Linked DNA regions of Lepisosteus oculatus. The protein of the gene in region 1 interacts with the protein of each later gene in a pairwise test. Links are inferred from orthologs where the notes say so. Each region holds a gene or a part of one and is shown in the gene's direction. Other genes may lie near its edges. The genes, in order: dnaja3a and tcf19l.

Region 1 (8,058 bases):
AGAAGGAGGCCTTAAAAATACAGCACAGTTGTTCTAGTAACGGGAAGTCTCACAGTGAATTTATAAAGCATTTTCTACAGTTAAACAAGAAATAACCTGCTGGGGAATGCACAGTGCCCACAGCCCAAAGATAGACTGCATTTGCTGCCAGGGCCAGTTTACTTCTTTTTGGCTGTGAGCTCTTTGCTTCTATTTGCTCCACAGCTGGCTGGAGACAGAGGGATTCTGGAGAGTGGCTGCAATGGACTCAGCTTGGCAGCTCGCCCTGTACTACAGTGATGTGCACAATGCTGTGGAAGTCTCCGAAACTCTGGCACTGCGCTGCAAATCATTTAAAAACGTGTCCAAGATTCCCCAGTGGCTCAATCAGAATACGAACTTCCATCCAGGCTTTTATCCTGAGCAGGGAATCCCTGTGCTGGTCCCGGAGGGACGTCGTGTCGCTAGGTTTACAGTCCACACTGCATGAGCTAATTATTGTTTAACTGGACACACTTGCCAGAGCAGGTCTGCGAACCCCTGAGCTATAGCTTGCAAGGGAGCCCATGGTGAAACAGGAAGTTTCCAGTGGTTGAGGACATTTATTCAAAAGAATCTGGGCTCTACAGGGGGATTTCTAGCTTCCTGTGCTGCAGGGATGACCTCTGCTCACACAGTGGACACTCCTCACGACTGGACTGTATTAGTCCTGTGACACTCACTCCTCAACCTGGACACCTGCAGGCCCTGCTGCTTTTCAATCCACCTGCGCTCTTAATGAGTTTATCGAATCAGTTATTGAATTATCTGATCCAACTTACCTGGGTTTCCAAACCTTTAGTTACGGAGCATTTTTAGTTACCTAAAAAAAACCTGCAGGTCTCCAGGACCAGATATGAAGATGGTGGTTTTGGCGAGTCTGTGCATCTCCCTGGTTTTGGGGTGTCATTGGAGGCCACTGATGTTCTGGACCGGCACAGCTACACTGGCTGCGGCTACACATGCCTCAGGGGACAAGGAAAGCAGGACCATCCCGGAAATCCAGCTCAAGTGGCAGCTGGAAAACGTTGAAAACTAACTCCTCCGCTAAATTTCTAGGCAAGAGATGTGCTCACATTGTTCTGAGGCGCAGCTTTCTTGCTAGAGGCTCTTAACGCAATTACAAATCTACATCTTTGCCAGAGGCTGCAGTACAGAAGCTCCCACACATGGGACTGAATGCCAACAGCCTCTACAAACAAATCACTGTAATCCACAAATCAACACTATTGTACCAGCCTCTGTAAAGGCGACATACAGCCAATGTATTTGTGCCCTACTAACAACAGGGCGGGGACTGACTCTGTCCTGGAACACAAAGAAATAAGTCTGAAATTCCACTCCAAAAATATACAAAAAGATAGGTTAGCCCACACTTGTGCGTCATAATAGCACGGGCAAACTGAAGGGGAGCAATATATTGCCTTGTTAATCATCTCTAAATAGGACAGAGCTGAACCCCTTTCTCATTGCATTTGACTGTAGTAACCGTGCTGCTCTTTCTGTAAACAGAGTGGAATCCCATCCTTTCTGAGGGATGTACACCAAAGGCAACAGCACATCCCAAAACGATATTTTAAAAATGTGTCACCCCTATTACTAGAACCCTTGGCTATACCAAGAAATGTCACTCCTCAACTTTCTGAGCCTTACACAGACAGAACTACAACAGAACATAGCTGTCGCAGCTACTAATAGTCCATTCTGTGAACTAAACAGTCTCCACCTTATTTGTGTTCTTGTGGTAGGATTTAACAGACCCTGCAAATGCAAAAAACCTCAAACGAGAAACCATCTTCAAAAGCACAGCACCAGGGCCTGGGTGAGCAGCTGTGTGGGACAGCCAGTAAGGAGGGGTCTTGAGACTGCTGCTCAAGAGGGAAGAAGACAAGATCATCCCAGAGAAACGTGTTGGGTAGGAGAGGCCGGGGCTGAAGACGGACGCCGAGGTTCTTAGCAGAAGAGAGCACGGACAGCAGAGCACTGAAATACATGTTATCTGTCAGTCCCACCTGGAACAGGAAATCCCTGAAGGATTTTTTTGTTCCCCGTGGGTAAGCAGGGGACACTTCCACTGAATATGAATCTTAGCCTCTGCGTGCAGACTGGACAGGAGACAAAGCATCACTGTTGGACAGACTGGAAAACCATCACGCCTGACGGCCCGTCAAAACAGTTAATTCAATTAAACTTTAACAGCAGGGCGCGTGATGAAAACCAGAGGCAGAAGTGTGTGACTTCTTTTAGTAAGCAGCTGCAGCAGCATGCGAAGGCGGCAGAGGAGCAGGGAGAGGTTTATTCCAGGCTGAAAGGAAAAGAAAAGAGACACCGTGTTTCGACTGTGGAGCCTTCCTCAGGTGTCCACTTCTTTCGTACACGTTTTGGTAGATCAACAACCGTTGTTCAGTCTCTGCCTCAGGGCTGTCTATGAAAACTGAAGATATTTGCCAATAAGCTCTTCAACTCAATTTACAGAAAGAATGGAGACATGGTTAAAAAGTCCAGCATCCTCCAGCACGTTATCAATGCAAAATTATTGGGTCTCATTCATACCATTGGTTTAAAACATCATAATGGGATAGGTCCACAATATAAGCTTCAAAGGTTTGAGACATTCAAAGGTGAACTACGTTTGCAAAGTAGGAAAGCCGAGTATAAGTGGGGATGAGTTCTTAGCCCGTTTGAATGCAGCTCAGTCCTGCAGCTCCCTCCCCCCAACCACAGGGGTCGCTATTACACAACGATATGCACATTATACCAATTAATAACCCTGTCCTGATATATGGATGGATGCTTCAAGAAGAAGTTTTCCACGACTGAGGACTCCCCATATCTAAAACTCATCAGCTTTAGAAGAGCACCTCGGTTTTACTCTTGAGTAGAAACGTGCGGTGGAATTCACAAGCACAAAGTGGAACACGTGTGCCTGCAATGCACTCCAGGTGAGGCTTCCTCTGAAAGCTTCCAAACCACTCAATCAGAAACGACAGCGATATAGTGTATCTCGGTTGTGCGTGGGAAAAGCCACACCTTCCTGACTTCAGATTCCACCACTCACCGTCAATCTGGCCAAAACAAAACCTCGCCCAAGGAATATCTCGAAACTGGTGACTTCCTTTGCCCGGGGCTAGAAATTACCTGTGATCTCGCTGTGCCCACGCACGGAACACAGAGTAGTGCCCGGGATCATTTCACACCTTCAGCAGAGCCTATATTCCAGCACGTGTGAAGGTCGCTAGGAAGATAACCTCTCTCGTCAAAAAGTTGAAGTCGACACTCTATTGCACAGACGTATCTGTAGATGAATTCCCTCCCCGTAAACAGATCAACAATGAATCAACCACTTTCTTTGAAAATTATGCAAAACATTTGGATTGCGTCGGAGCTGACCTAGTAGCTACTCATTAGATTTTACACACCAGGAAGAGCGCGATAGGGTAGCAAATGGCAGAATGGGCGAATTACGATTATTTTGACTTTCTATCGTGCTTGTCAAGGCTAGAACAGTAATTAATAAATTCAGGTTCGCTCCGAGCACAGCTTGTTCATGCACGCTACCTTAACACACATCCTGGTATGACTTTTAAAAAAAAAGTCGAGGTAATTGAGCATCGTGTTTTACATATATTTGCATTAAATCATTCACAGCTGTAAACAATATTTCAGTCTATCTAAACTTTTAGAAACGATTAAACATACCGCGCGGTAGAAATGAAGCGTTGTTCTGTTTTCTTAAAGAGCAGTCTTATTTGCACATGCAATTTAAAACACAAATCACGTCTGGACGGAAATTATTTTTCCGTGTAACGTGAGCGTTTACAACCTCCCAGGTTTTAGTTTTTACCAAACCTTCATTCAAATTAGAGCAAAAAAAAACTGTCATGCACAGACGGAAAAATAAAAAGAGGCGAATCCCATCCTTTAATTAAAACCTGCAGTGCAAGCGGCCGTCTGGAAGCCTTCTTCTAAAACCAGCGTACATTTCAATCTGAATTTGAACGAGTGCTTGAAAAATGATGACTCCGGGACAGCTTTGCGAGAGCAGTATTCAGGAAGTTGAAATGCCAGCACACGTCTCTCCCCCCATTCACTGCAAAACCCAACCCTCGCCGACTTACGTCTTTCTTGGGGATTTTTGGGGTGGTGTTCTTGAATTTGGAGATTTTGAAGCGGTTCATCCTTCTCCTTTCTCCTTCGCCGTCCTGCTCAACGCCAGTGACCCGTTTGCTATCTGTCCCACTCCTTCCCCGTCTCTGCAGACGCGCACACACGCTCAGCAGCTGCACTGACAGCACAACAGTGCCGGTCGATTGTCTCTTGCAGCGATTCACTCGGCGATCGATGCGAACGGGAGCGGCTGATGCTGTCTTGTCTGACCCCCCACCTCGAGCTAGTGACATTGCTGCAAACCTCAGATTGTACTGGGGGCATTTTGCGATTTCAGACTTCTCTTGCTACTTAGCATGTATGGTGCGCAATTTGAAACGAGTGGTGATGTTTTACAATACTGCTAAATTTAACAAAGTTTATGTTTAATTACTGTAAGTAACCCTCCTTTTAAAAAATCTGAGAGGTGTAAAACGGGTGGCCAGCAGACGCCCAACTGATGCTGAACAAATTGCCCCCTTGGGATTAAAGGCTCTCTCAGTCACAGCTCGCAACTGGGAGTTTATTTTGCATATTACTACACGACTTGGGGAGAAGGTTTTCTTTTTGTTTTTGGGCCCCTCTGGACGTATTTGTCGGAGATGAGTCTCTGCACTGCTGGGGAAACTCGTACCTGATTTAGGGGAAAAGAAAACATTTAAGTGCATTGATTTTAAAAAGCTAGCAACCTTCTAAAATTAAATAAATAATACATGGAATCTAACGTTAAAGTTTAAAACCATGTAGCAGAGGCAGTTCGTGTTTTTAAAATAATTATTGAAGCGTTTTTTTATTTTTCTTGAAGAGTCTGAAGTCCACCCTCACCCCTATCATGTGACATGTTCGCGCTGGGAATGTCCCCTGCGTTTGGACTGCGCATGCTCGCCCAGCTCCGCGCATGCGCGGCCCGTTGCTTTTCCCGGCCATGCGCTTTGCGCTGCCTCTGTCAGTCCTGGTACATGATGATGGCGTCTCCTGCGGTCCGGTGCTCCTCACGCTGGATCTTCGTGGCCGTCTCCGCCGGGCAGCGTCGGGGCTGCTCGCGGTTCGCCCGCGCCCATACGGAGACATTGCGTCCCGTTCCTGCCTTGAGTGCATCGCAGTATCGTCCCGGGGGCGGCGGAGGGCCCGGCCACGTCCTGACATTGAGAGCATTAGCAGGTAATGAGACGAGCCGGAATGCCTATATCCTGAACTCTTGCAATGTACATTACAGTTGCGCAGGGTTTGGGGGCTGTGTAATTAACAGCTAGCGTATTTCTTTCATTGCGTTGTCAATATTGTAGTGAAATGTGTGATATGTCTAGACTACACGCGTGCTTCCCTTGACGTCTCTACCGGCATTACGAAAGAGACGTAACGGCGTGACACAAAGTACCTCTGGATGACATGATCGTAAATTGCATATATTTTCTGTTTGACGTCCGTACTTCATGCAAGAAGCAGCACTTTTCGTGTTGATCTTAGATCGCAGGTGTGCTCTCTTCGGCTACCAGAAACTTCCTCCGCTCCAGCAGCTGACCTTGACTGGCAGCATGGTCGCTACTTTGTGTGCCATGCTTCCGGCTGTGGAGATTTAAGAGCAGGAAGGGAAAAATTACCGCAGAAACAAACTGTGACAAAAGGCACCCATAGGCATGTGTCGCTCGTAATTCATAAACCCCCTTTTTGCAGAAAAAGTCTTTGAAGACTAGTGCGGAAGATATAATTACAGTTATCGTGGTGACTTGAGCTATATGTAAATGTTGATCATATGGAGGTTTCAATCTGTTTACCTTTGAAGACTAGTTGCGACAGTATTCGAGAAAGCGTCAAATGGACGCATCTTACCGAAACGCCCTTTGTGTTCAGTTCCAAATCTTCTAGGTGTGATTGGGATAAAAACGACAAATAGCTGACATTGCTAGACTTTGAGCAGGTAGCAGCTGACATTGCTAAACTTTTAAAACAAGATATATTTTTTGAATATATCTCATAGGCTACTTGCTTCCTCTGGTTATTCTTGTACCAAATGTTGATTAACAGTTAGATCCATAAGGAGTCCAGACTGGATTGGCCAGTATTTGAAAGTATTACCAAAATAAACACTTTTCATTGTGATTATCAGATTCATTTGTTGCAAGAGCCTGCTGTTTGTATAAACTGATATTCAGCAGAGTCATGACTTATATATGCAATATATTGACAAAGTTAGCAGTTTCTTTTTAGTAGGTGGAGTACTGAGATTTCGGTGAACAGAAGTGCCATAATTAACAAGTTGCTTTCAGTAGAATTGATCACCATTTGGTCTTGTGTTAGGTCACAGTGTAATAGTGTCTGGAGCCACAGCTGGAAACAGTACAAGCTGTACATCTGGGATTCGTTCTCTGCAATACATTGCAATTGGATTTTGCCCTTTTCCCCTCATAGATCCTGTGAGCTTGTGTCTGTCCCTGGGCCTCCAAATGCCTTAGGTCTCCCTACCTCATCCAGTGGGGCTCAGGCCAGTAGAATACCCACAAGACACCATGTCCTATTCTCATCTTGCCAGAAAGCCCATGTTTCACACGCAGCATGAGGATGTGAAGGCGCCTCAATATATAGAGGTTATTTTTATAACTGGGGCGTTGCAGTTCCTTTCTGTAATTTTCTTTCTTCACAATCGGTGGGTTGGGATCACCCCTTGACCTGTTTCTGCTCAGCTCTCCCACTAATGTGAGTTTATTAGTGCTTATGCAACAAAGTCAATCATGAAATCGGTACACAGTCCTGCATGGCTGATTTCTCTTGACACATACAGTACACTCAGTAACGGAGTGCTACGTTTCTTTTCTTTCTAAGCCTAACTGGAGATCAGGAAAGATATCAAGAATCAGTGCACTCTGATGTCAGAGAAGCAACGTTTGGAACTTTCTTTAGTGCAGTTCAGAAAGCAGCATTGATCTCGTCTTCTTGTGGATTGGAGAGATGTACGAATACTTTCTGGATTCTGTTATATTGTATGGTGCTTTAAATGCCTGACGTCTGTGGATCCTTGCAGTAACCAGTGAGAGTCTGCTTACAAAAGTTGCACTGATGACAGTTGATCTCTGGCTTTATCAACAAGCAGTTTATCTTTAAGCAGTTCGACATCATGGGGTTCAGGCAGCTAGCGATGTCCTTTATTATTTCAGTCTTGCAATAATATTATGCAGTCTTGCAGCTGCACATGGAGTATGGTTTGGAAAGGAATATTCCAGTTTAATACCGAGAGTGCTGTCATATGTTGATTTGCTCTTTAAAAAGTACAGCACTCTAGTTCTGAGTTCCCAGGGAGACTGTACTCACGGGAGGTTCTGGCCTGCTGCCTCCCTGGGCTGTGGTGCTGTAGTCTGCCTGTGCCCCCTGGCAGAGCTCAGACCCCAACTGTTAAGCCGGGTCTCCACGTGCCCATACAGGAGTGAGGAGCCCCAGTGTCATCCCTGCCCCCGCCTTCCACACCAGCGCCTCTGCGTCAAACAAGCAGGACTACTACCAAGTGCTGGGGGTGTCCCGGTCGGCCACGCAGAAGGAGATCAAAAAGGCTTATTACCAGGTGAGAGACGTGGCTACAGCTCGAGAGACTGCAGACGCAGGAAAGATGACGAGAGCTGCTGTAGAATTTCTGTGAAAGCCTGTACCCTTTGTTATTTCTTAAATAAGAAACCGATAAAACTGTTTATTAAAGGTTCTTGTTCTATGCCATGACCGGAAACAGAAGGCGAAGCCTACAGACCAGTAAGAAGAAAGTCCTGTGTTTAATGTTCCTTCAGTGCTGAACTGACTCGGCAGGGACAGGCATTGGATGTCGGTGTTCAGCAGAGACTCTGAGGCGTTTGTTTAAATAAAGTAAATTGTTGTCCCTGCGACTGGAACGCGAGAGGGGGGCAAAGGGCC
Region 2 (7,645 bases), on another chromosome or scaffold:
GAGTGACAGGAGAGCAGCAGGATGAGAGGAGACAGAGAGACAGGAGAGCAGCAGGCGAGAGGAGACACAGAGACAGGAGAGCAGCAGGACGAGAGGAGACACAGTGACAGGAGAGCCGGAGGACGAGAGGAGACACAGTGACAGAGAGACAGGAGAGCAGCAGGCGAGAGGAGACAGACAGGATCGGAGCAGCAGGCGAGAGGAGACAGAGAGACAGGATCGGAGCAGCAGGCGAGAGGAGACAGAGTGACAGGAGAGCCGCAGGACGAGAGGAGACACAGTGACAGAGAGACAGGAGAGCAGCAGGACGAGAGGAGACAGAGAGACAGGAGAGCAGCAGGCGAGAGGAGACACAGTGACAGGAGAGCAGCAGGACGAGAGGAGACAGAGTGACAGGAGAGCCGGAGGACGAGAGGAGACACAGTGACAGAGAGACAGGAGAGCAGCAGGCGAGAGGAGACAGACAGGATCGGAGCAGCAGGCGAGAGGAGACAGAGAGACAGGATCGGAGCAGCAGGCGAGAGGAGACAGAGTGACAGGAGAGCCGCAGGACGAGAGGAGACACAGTGACAGAGAGACAGGAGAGCAGCAGGACGAGAGGAGACAGAGAGACAGGAGAGCAGCAGGACGAGAGGAGACAGAGAGACAGGAGAGCAGCAGGACGAGAGGAGACAGAGAGACAGGAGAGCCGCAGGACGAGAGGAGACACAGTGACAGGAGAGCCGCAGGACGAGAGGAGACAGACAGGATCGGAGCAACAGGCGAGAGGAGACAGAGTGACAGGAGAGCAGCAGGATGAGAGGAGACAGAGAGACAGGAGAGCAGCAGGCGAGAGGAGACAGAGAGACAGGAGAGCAGCAGGACGAGAGGAGACACAGTGACAGAGAGACAGGAGAGCAGCAGGCGAGAGGAGACAGACAGGATCGGAGCAGCAGGCGAGAGGAGACAGAGAGACAGGATCGGAGCAGCAGGCGAGAGGAGACAGAGTGACAGGAGAGCCGCAGGACGAGAGGAGACACAGTGACAGAGAGACAGGAGAGCAGCAGGCGAGAGGAGACAGAGAGACAGGAGAGCAGCAGGCGAGAGGAGACACAGTGACAGGAGAGCAGCAGGACGAGAGGAGACAGACAGGATCGGAGCAACAGGCGAGAGGAGACAGAGTGACAGGAGAGCCGCAGGACGAGAGGAGACACAGTGACAGGAGAGCAGCAGGCGAGAGGAGACAGACAGGATCGGAGCAACAGGCGAGAGGAGACAGAGTGACAGGAGAGCCGCAGGACGAGAGGAGACAGAGTGACAGGAGAGCCGCAGGACGAGAGGAGACAGAGAGACAGGAGAGCCGCAGGACGAGAGGAGACACAGTGACAGGAGAGCCGCAGGACGAGAGGAGACACAGTGACAGAGCGGAGCCAGGAGAGCAGCGGGAGGAGAAGTAAAGGGAGCGGAGACGACAGGATCGGAGCAGCAGGAGAGGAGTCCTACCCGCGGCAGCCCCGGGCGCCGAGAAGTCCGCCGGTCTGTTCAGCCTGTCCGCCATGTTGTCCGCCTGGCGGATTCAAGCGGGCCGCCAACCGCCAGCCCGTTACCTAGCGACGGACCCGCTCTTCCGGAGTCGCGTTAGAGCCGACGCCACATCCGCCTGACGTCACCCGGAGAGCGGGGAAAGGGGGGCGTGTCCGCCGCGGTGACGTGCCGGGGGCGGGAGGCCAAGATGGCCGCTTCCTGTGGCTGGAAGCGCTCAGGATTCCGGATCGATAATGAAGTGTCGTGTGGGCGAGTGATCGATCGGAACAAGGGAAGTGGGTGCCTGTCGAGTCAGTCTGGCCTAACGGGAGCTGTCATGTAAAACAGCAGCACCTGGAGAGCGCTGGTGTGCGGAGAGGACAGGCTGTATCAGCCCCTGTCCTGATCAGTGTCCCAGTGTCCCAGTATGTGTGGAGAGGACAGGCGTGCTCTGGTGTGTTTACAGGCTGTATCAGCCCCTGTCCTGATCAGTGTCCCAGTGTCCCAGTATGTGTGGAGAGGAGAGGCGTGCTCTGGTGTGTTTACAGGCTGTATCAGCCCCTGTCCTGATCAGTGTCCAAGTGTCCCAGTATGTGTGGAGAGGAGAGGCGTGCTCTGGTGTGTTTACAGGCTGTATCAGCCCCTGTCCTGATCAGTGTCCCAGTGTCCCAGTATGTGTGGAGAGGAGAGGCGTGCTCTGGTGTGTTTACAGGCTGTATCAGCCCCTGTCCTGATCAGTGTCCCAGTGTCCCAGTATGTGTGGAGAGGAGAGGCGTGCTCTGGTGTGTTTACAGGCTGTATCAGCCCCTGTCCTGATCAGTGTCCCAGTGTCCCAGTATGTGTGGAGAGGAGAGGCGTGCTGTATTGTTACAGTGAGAGGCTGTATCAGAGTTGTGTTATTTATTATGCTGAAGAGTCCCAGTGTGTTTGTGTGTTGTGCGTCTGTATTGTTACAGTGAGAGGCTGTATAAGAGTTGTGTTATTTATTATGGTGAAGAGTCCCAGTGTGTTTGTGTGTTGTGTGTCTGTATTGTTACAGCGAGAGGCTGTATCAGAGTTGTGTTATTTATTATGCTGAAGAGTCCCAGTGTGTTTGTGTGTTGTGTGTCTGTATTGTTACAGTGAGAGGCTGTATAAGAGTTGTGTTATTTATTATGATGAAGAGTCCCAGTGTGTTTGTGTGTTGTGTGTCTGTATTGTTACAGTGAGAGGCTGTATAAGAGTTGTGTTATTTATGATGAGGAAGAGTCCCAGTGTGTGTGTGTGTTGTGTGTCTGTATTGTTACAGTGAGAGGCTGTATAAGAGTTGTGTTATTTATTATGAGGAAGAGTCCCAGTGTGTTTGTGTGTTGTGTGTCTGTATTGTTACAGTGAGAGGCTGTATAAGAGTTGTGTTATTTATTATGAGGAAGAGTCCCAGTGTGTGTGTGTGTTGTGTGTCTGTATTGTTACAGTGAGAGGCTGTATAAGAGTTGTGTTATTTATGATGATGAAGAGTCCCAGTGTGTTTGTGTGTTGTGTGTCTGTATTGTTACAGTGAGAGGCTGTATAAGAGTTGTGTTATTTATTATGAGGAAGAGTCCCAGTGTGTTTGTGTGTTGTGTGTCTGTATTGTTACAGTGAGAGGCTGTATAAGAGTTGTGTTATTTATTATGATGAAGAGTCCCAGTGTGTTTGTGTGTTGTGTGTCTGTATTGTTACAGTGAGAGGCTGTATAAGAGTTGTGTTATTTATGATGAGGAAGAGTCCCAGTGTGTGTGTGTGTTGTGTGTCTGTATTGTTACAGTGAGAGGCTGTATAAGAGTTGTGTTATTTATTATGAGGAAGAGTCCCAGTGTGTTTGTGTGTTGTGTGTCTGTATTGTTACAGTGAGAGGCTGTATCAGAGTTGTGTTATTTATTATTATGATGAAGAGTCCCAGTGTGTTTGTGTGTTGTGTGTCTGTACTGTTACAGTGAGAGGCTGTATAAGAGTTGTGTTATTTATGATGATGAAGAGTCCCAGTGTGTTTGTGTGTTGTGTGTCTGTATTGTTACAGTGAGAGGCTGTATCAGAGTTGTGTTATTTATTATTATGAGGAAGAGTCCCAGTGTGTGTGTGTGTTGTGTGTCTGTATTGTTACAGTGAGAGGCTGTATAAGAGTTGTGTTATTTATTATGAGGAAGAGTCCCAGTGTGTTTGTGTGTTGTGTGTCTGTACTGTTACAGTGAGAGGCTGTATAAGAGTTGTGTTATTTATTATTATGATGAAGAGTCCCAGTGTGTTTGTGTGTTGTGTGTCTGTACTGTTACAGTGAGAGGCTGTATCAGAGTTGTGTTATTTATTATTATGATGAAGAGTCCCAGTGTGTTTGTGTGTTGTGTGTCTGTATTGTTACAGTGAGAGGCTGTATAAGAGTTGTGTTATTTATTATGAGGAAGAGTCCCAGTGTGTTTGTGTGTTGTGTGTCTGTATTGTTACAGTGAGAGGCTGTATCAGAGTTGTGTTATTTATTATTATGAGGAAGAGTCCCAGTGTGTTTGTGTGTTGTGTGTCTGTATTGTTATAGTGAGAGGCTGTATAAGAGTTGTGTTATTTATTATGAGGAAGAGTCCCAGTGTGTTTGTGTGTTGTGTGTCTGTACTGTTACAGTGAGAGGCTGTATCAGAGTTGTGTTATTTATTATTATGAGGAAGAGTCCCAGTGTGTTTGTGTGTTGTGTGTCTGTATTGTTATAGTGAGAGGCTGTATAAGAGTTGTGTTATTTATTATGATGAAGAGTCCCAGTGTGTTTGTGTGTTGTGTGTCTGTACTGTTACAGTGAGAGGCTGTATCAGAGTTGTGTTGTTTATTATTATGATGAAGAGTCCCAGTGTGTTTGTGGGTTGTGTGTCTGTACTGTTACAGTGAGAGGCTGTATCAGAGTTGTGTTGTTTATTATTATGATGAAGAGTCCCAGTGTGTTTGTGTGTTGTGTGTCTGTACTGTTACAGTGAGAGGCTGTATCAGAGTTGTGTTATTTATTATGATGAAGAGTCCCAGTGTGTTTGTGTGTTGTGTGTCTGTATTGTTACAGTGAGAGGCTGTATAAGAGTTGTGTTATTTATTATGAGGAAGAGTCCCAGTGTGTGTGTGTGTTGTGTGTCTGTACTGTTACAGTGAGAGGCTGTATCAGAGTTGTGTTATTTATTATTATGAGGAAGAGTCCCAGTGTGTGTGTGTGTTGTGTGTCTGTACTGTTACAGTGAGAGGCTGTATCAGAGTTGTGTTATTTATTATTATGATGAAGAGTCCCAGTGTGTTTGTGTGTTGTGTGTCTGTATTGTTACAGTGAGAGGCTGTATAAGAGTTGTGTTATTTATTATGAGGAAGAGTCCCAGTGTGTGTGTGTGTTGTGTGTCTGTACTGTTACAGTGAGAGGCTGTATCAGAGTTGTGTTATTTATTATTATGATGAAGAGTCCCAGTGTGTTTGTGGGTAAAGGGGCGTTCCCACTGGCCGGCCCGCGGCGGGGGGCGGGGCTGTTGCCATGGAGGCGGCCGTTGCCCCGGTGAGGGGGCGGGGCCTTGGCGGCGCGGGTCTCGCGCGAGTGGCGCCGGCGCGCCAAGTTTCAAAGCGCTTCCGGGAGGGAGAGCGCGCCGCGCGGAGACTGTCACGGGCCCGGCTCTGCTGCGCGCCACACCGAGCCCACGGCCACTCGTGTCCGCGCCGGCGGGGCAGCATGCTGCCCGGGCTGCAGCCCTGCTTCCAGCTGCTGCGCGTCGGCGCCTCGGACCCCGGCCGCGACCTCTTCACCTTCCGGCCCGCGCTGCCCCGCTGCGTGTTTCGCGTGGGCCGCCTGCCCGAGCTGTGCGATGTGCCCGTGAGCTGCGCCGAGCGGCCCGAGCTGGTGTCGCGCGTGCACGCGGAGCTGCACGCCGAGCGAGAGGAGGAGGAGGAGGAGGAAGGGCAGGAGAGGGGCTGGAGAGTCTTCATCGTGGATCAGAGCAGCTACGGTGAGTCTGAGAGTGTGTGTGTGTGTGAGACACTGTCTGTGTGTGTGTGTGAGACACTGTCTGTGTGTGTGTGTGAGACACTGTCAGAGTGTGTGTGTGAGACACTGTCTGTGTGTGTGTGAGAGACACTGTCTGTGTGTGTGTGTGAGACACTGTCAGTGTGTGTGCGTGAGACTGTGTGTGTGTGTGAGAGAGACACTGTCAGTGTGTGTGTGTGAGAGAGAGAGACACTGTCAGTGTGTGTGTGTGTGAGACACTGTCAGTGTGTGTGTGTGTGAGACACTGTCAGTGTGTGTGTGTGTGAGAGAGAGACACTGTCAGTGTGTGTGTGTGTGAGAGAGAGACACTGTCAGTGTGTGTGTGTGAGAGAGAGACACTGTCAGTGTGTGTGTGTGAGAGAGACACACTGTCAGTGTGTCTGTGAGAGAGAGAGACACACTGTCAGTGTGTGTGTGTGAGACACTGTCAGTGTGTGTCTGTGAGAGAGAGAGACACACTGTCAGTGTGTGTGTGTGAGACACTGTCAGTGTGTGTGTGTGAGACACTGTCAGTGTGTGTGTGTGAGACACTGTCAGTGTGTCTGTGAGAGAGAGAGACACTGTCAGTGTGTGTGTGTGAGACACTGTCAGTGTGTGTGTGTGAGAGAGAGAGACACTGTCAGTGTGTGTGTGTGAGACACTGTCTGTGTGTGTGTGAGAGACACTGTCTGTGTGTGTGTGAGAGACACTGTCTGTGTGTGTGTGAGAGAGACACTGTCAGTGTGTGTGTGTGAGAGAGAGAGACACTGTCAGTGTGTGTGTGTGTGAGACACTGTCAGTGTGTGTGTGTGTGAGAGAGAGACACTGTCAGTGTGTGTGTGTGTGAGAGAGAGACACTGTCAGTGTGTGTGTGTGTGAGAGAGAGAGAGAGACACTGTCAGTGTGTGTGTGTGTGAGAGAGAGACACTGTCAGTGTGTGTGTGTGTGAGACACTGTCAGTGTGTCTGTGAGAGAGAGAGACACTGTCAGTGTGTGTGTGTGTGAGACACTGTCAGTGTGTCTGTGAGAGAGAGAGACACTGTCAGTGTGTGTGTGAGACACTGTCAGTGTGTCTGTGAGAGAGAGAGACACTGTCAGTGTGTGTGTGTGAGACACTGTCAGTGTGTCTGTGAGAGAGAGAGACACTGTCAGTGTGTGTGTGTGAGACACTGTCAGTGTGTGTGTGTGAGAGAGAGAGACACTGTCAGTGTGTGTGTGTGAGACACTGTCAGTGTGTGTGTGTGAGACACTGTCAGTGTGTGTGTGTGTGAGACACTGTCAGTGTGTGTGTGTGAGAGAGAGAGAGACACTGTCTGTGTGTGTGTGAGAGAGAGAGAGACACTGTCAGTGTGTGTGTGTGAGAGAGAGAGAGACACTGTCTGTGTGTGTGTGAGAGAGAGAGAGACACTGTCTGTGTGTGTGTGTGTGTCTGGGGTACAGTGTGACCCCTCCTCCTCCCCCCTGTCCAGGCACGTGGCTGAACGACTCTCTCCTGCTCCGGGGTCAGAGGACGGAGCTCAGTGAGGGGGTACAGTGTGTGTGTGTGTGTCTGGGGTACAGTGTGACCCCTCCTCCTCCCCCCTGTCCAGGCACGTGGCTGAACGACTCTCTCCTGCTCCGGGGTCAGAGGACGGAGCTCAGTGAGGGGGTACAGTGTGTGTGTGTGTGTGTGTGTGTCTGGGGTACAGTGTGACCCCTCCTCCTCCCCCCTGTCCAGGCACGTGGCTGAACGACTCTCTCCTGCTCCGGGGTCAGAGGACGGAGCTCAGTGAGGGGGTACAGTGTGTGTGTGTGTGTCTGGGGTACAGTGTGACCCCTCCTCCTCCCCCCTGTCCAGGCACGTGGCTGAACGACTCTCTCCTGCTCCGGGGTCAGAGGACGGAGCTCAGTGAGGGGGTACAGTGTGTGTGTGTGTGTGTGTCTGGGGTACAGTGTGACCCCTCCTCCTCCCCCCTGTCCAGGCACGTGGCTGAACGACTCTCTCCTGCTCCGGGGTCAGAGGACGGAGCTCAGGGATGGGGACACGCTGACGTTCGGGGCGCCGGCCCGCGGCCCCGAGTGCTACTTCCTGTTCCAGCGGGCCCTGCTGCGCCCAGACGCCTTCGCCGCCATCGCGCTGCCGCGTGCGCCGGCCCCCCCGGCCCCCCCGGC

Evidence for each region.
Region 2: the proteins of dnaja3a (region 1) and tcf19l interact in a two-hybrid assay, tested with the Homo sapiens proteins (2 studies listed by BioGRID and IntAct). The two-hybrid records come from large-scale screens. The link is inferred for Lepisosteus oculatus from reciprocal best matches to the Homo sapiens genes DNAJA3 and TCF19.

The regions. Positions count from the first base shown.
Region 1 is NC_090714.1:3,739,794-3,747,851, reverse strand, and holds the start of dnaja3a (dnaJ heat shock protein family (Hsp40) member A3a), read left to right. Parts: upstream 1-5,016; 5' UTR 5,017-5,018; coding exon 5,019-5,325; intron 5,326-7,580; coding exon 7,581-7,717; intron 7,718-8,058. Other genes in the region: coro7 (coronin-7), read right to left, coding at 4,137-4,418. UniProt on the Homo sapiens protein: Modulates apoptotic signal transduction or effector structures within the mitochondrial matrix. Affect cytochrome C release from the mitochondria and caspase 3 activation, but not caspase 8 activation.
Region 2 is NW_027168109.1:40,610-48,254, reverse strand, and holds the start of tcf19l (transcription factor 19), read left to right. Parts: upstream 1-4,507; 5' UTR 4,508-5,011; coding exon 5,012-5,477; intron 5,478-7,455; coding exon 7,456-7,645. UniProt on the Homo sapiens protein: Potential transcription factor that may play a role in the regulation of genes involved in cell cycle G1/S transition. May bind to regulatory elements of genes, including the promoter of the transcription factor FOXO1.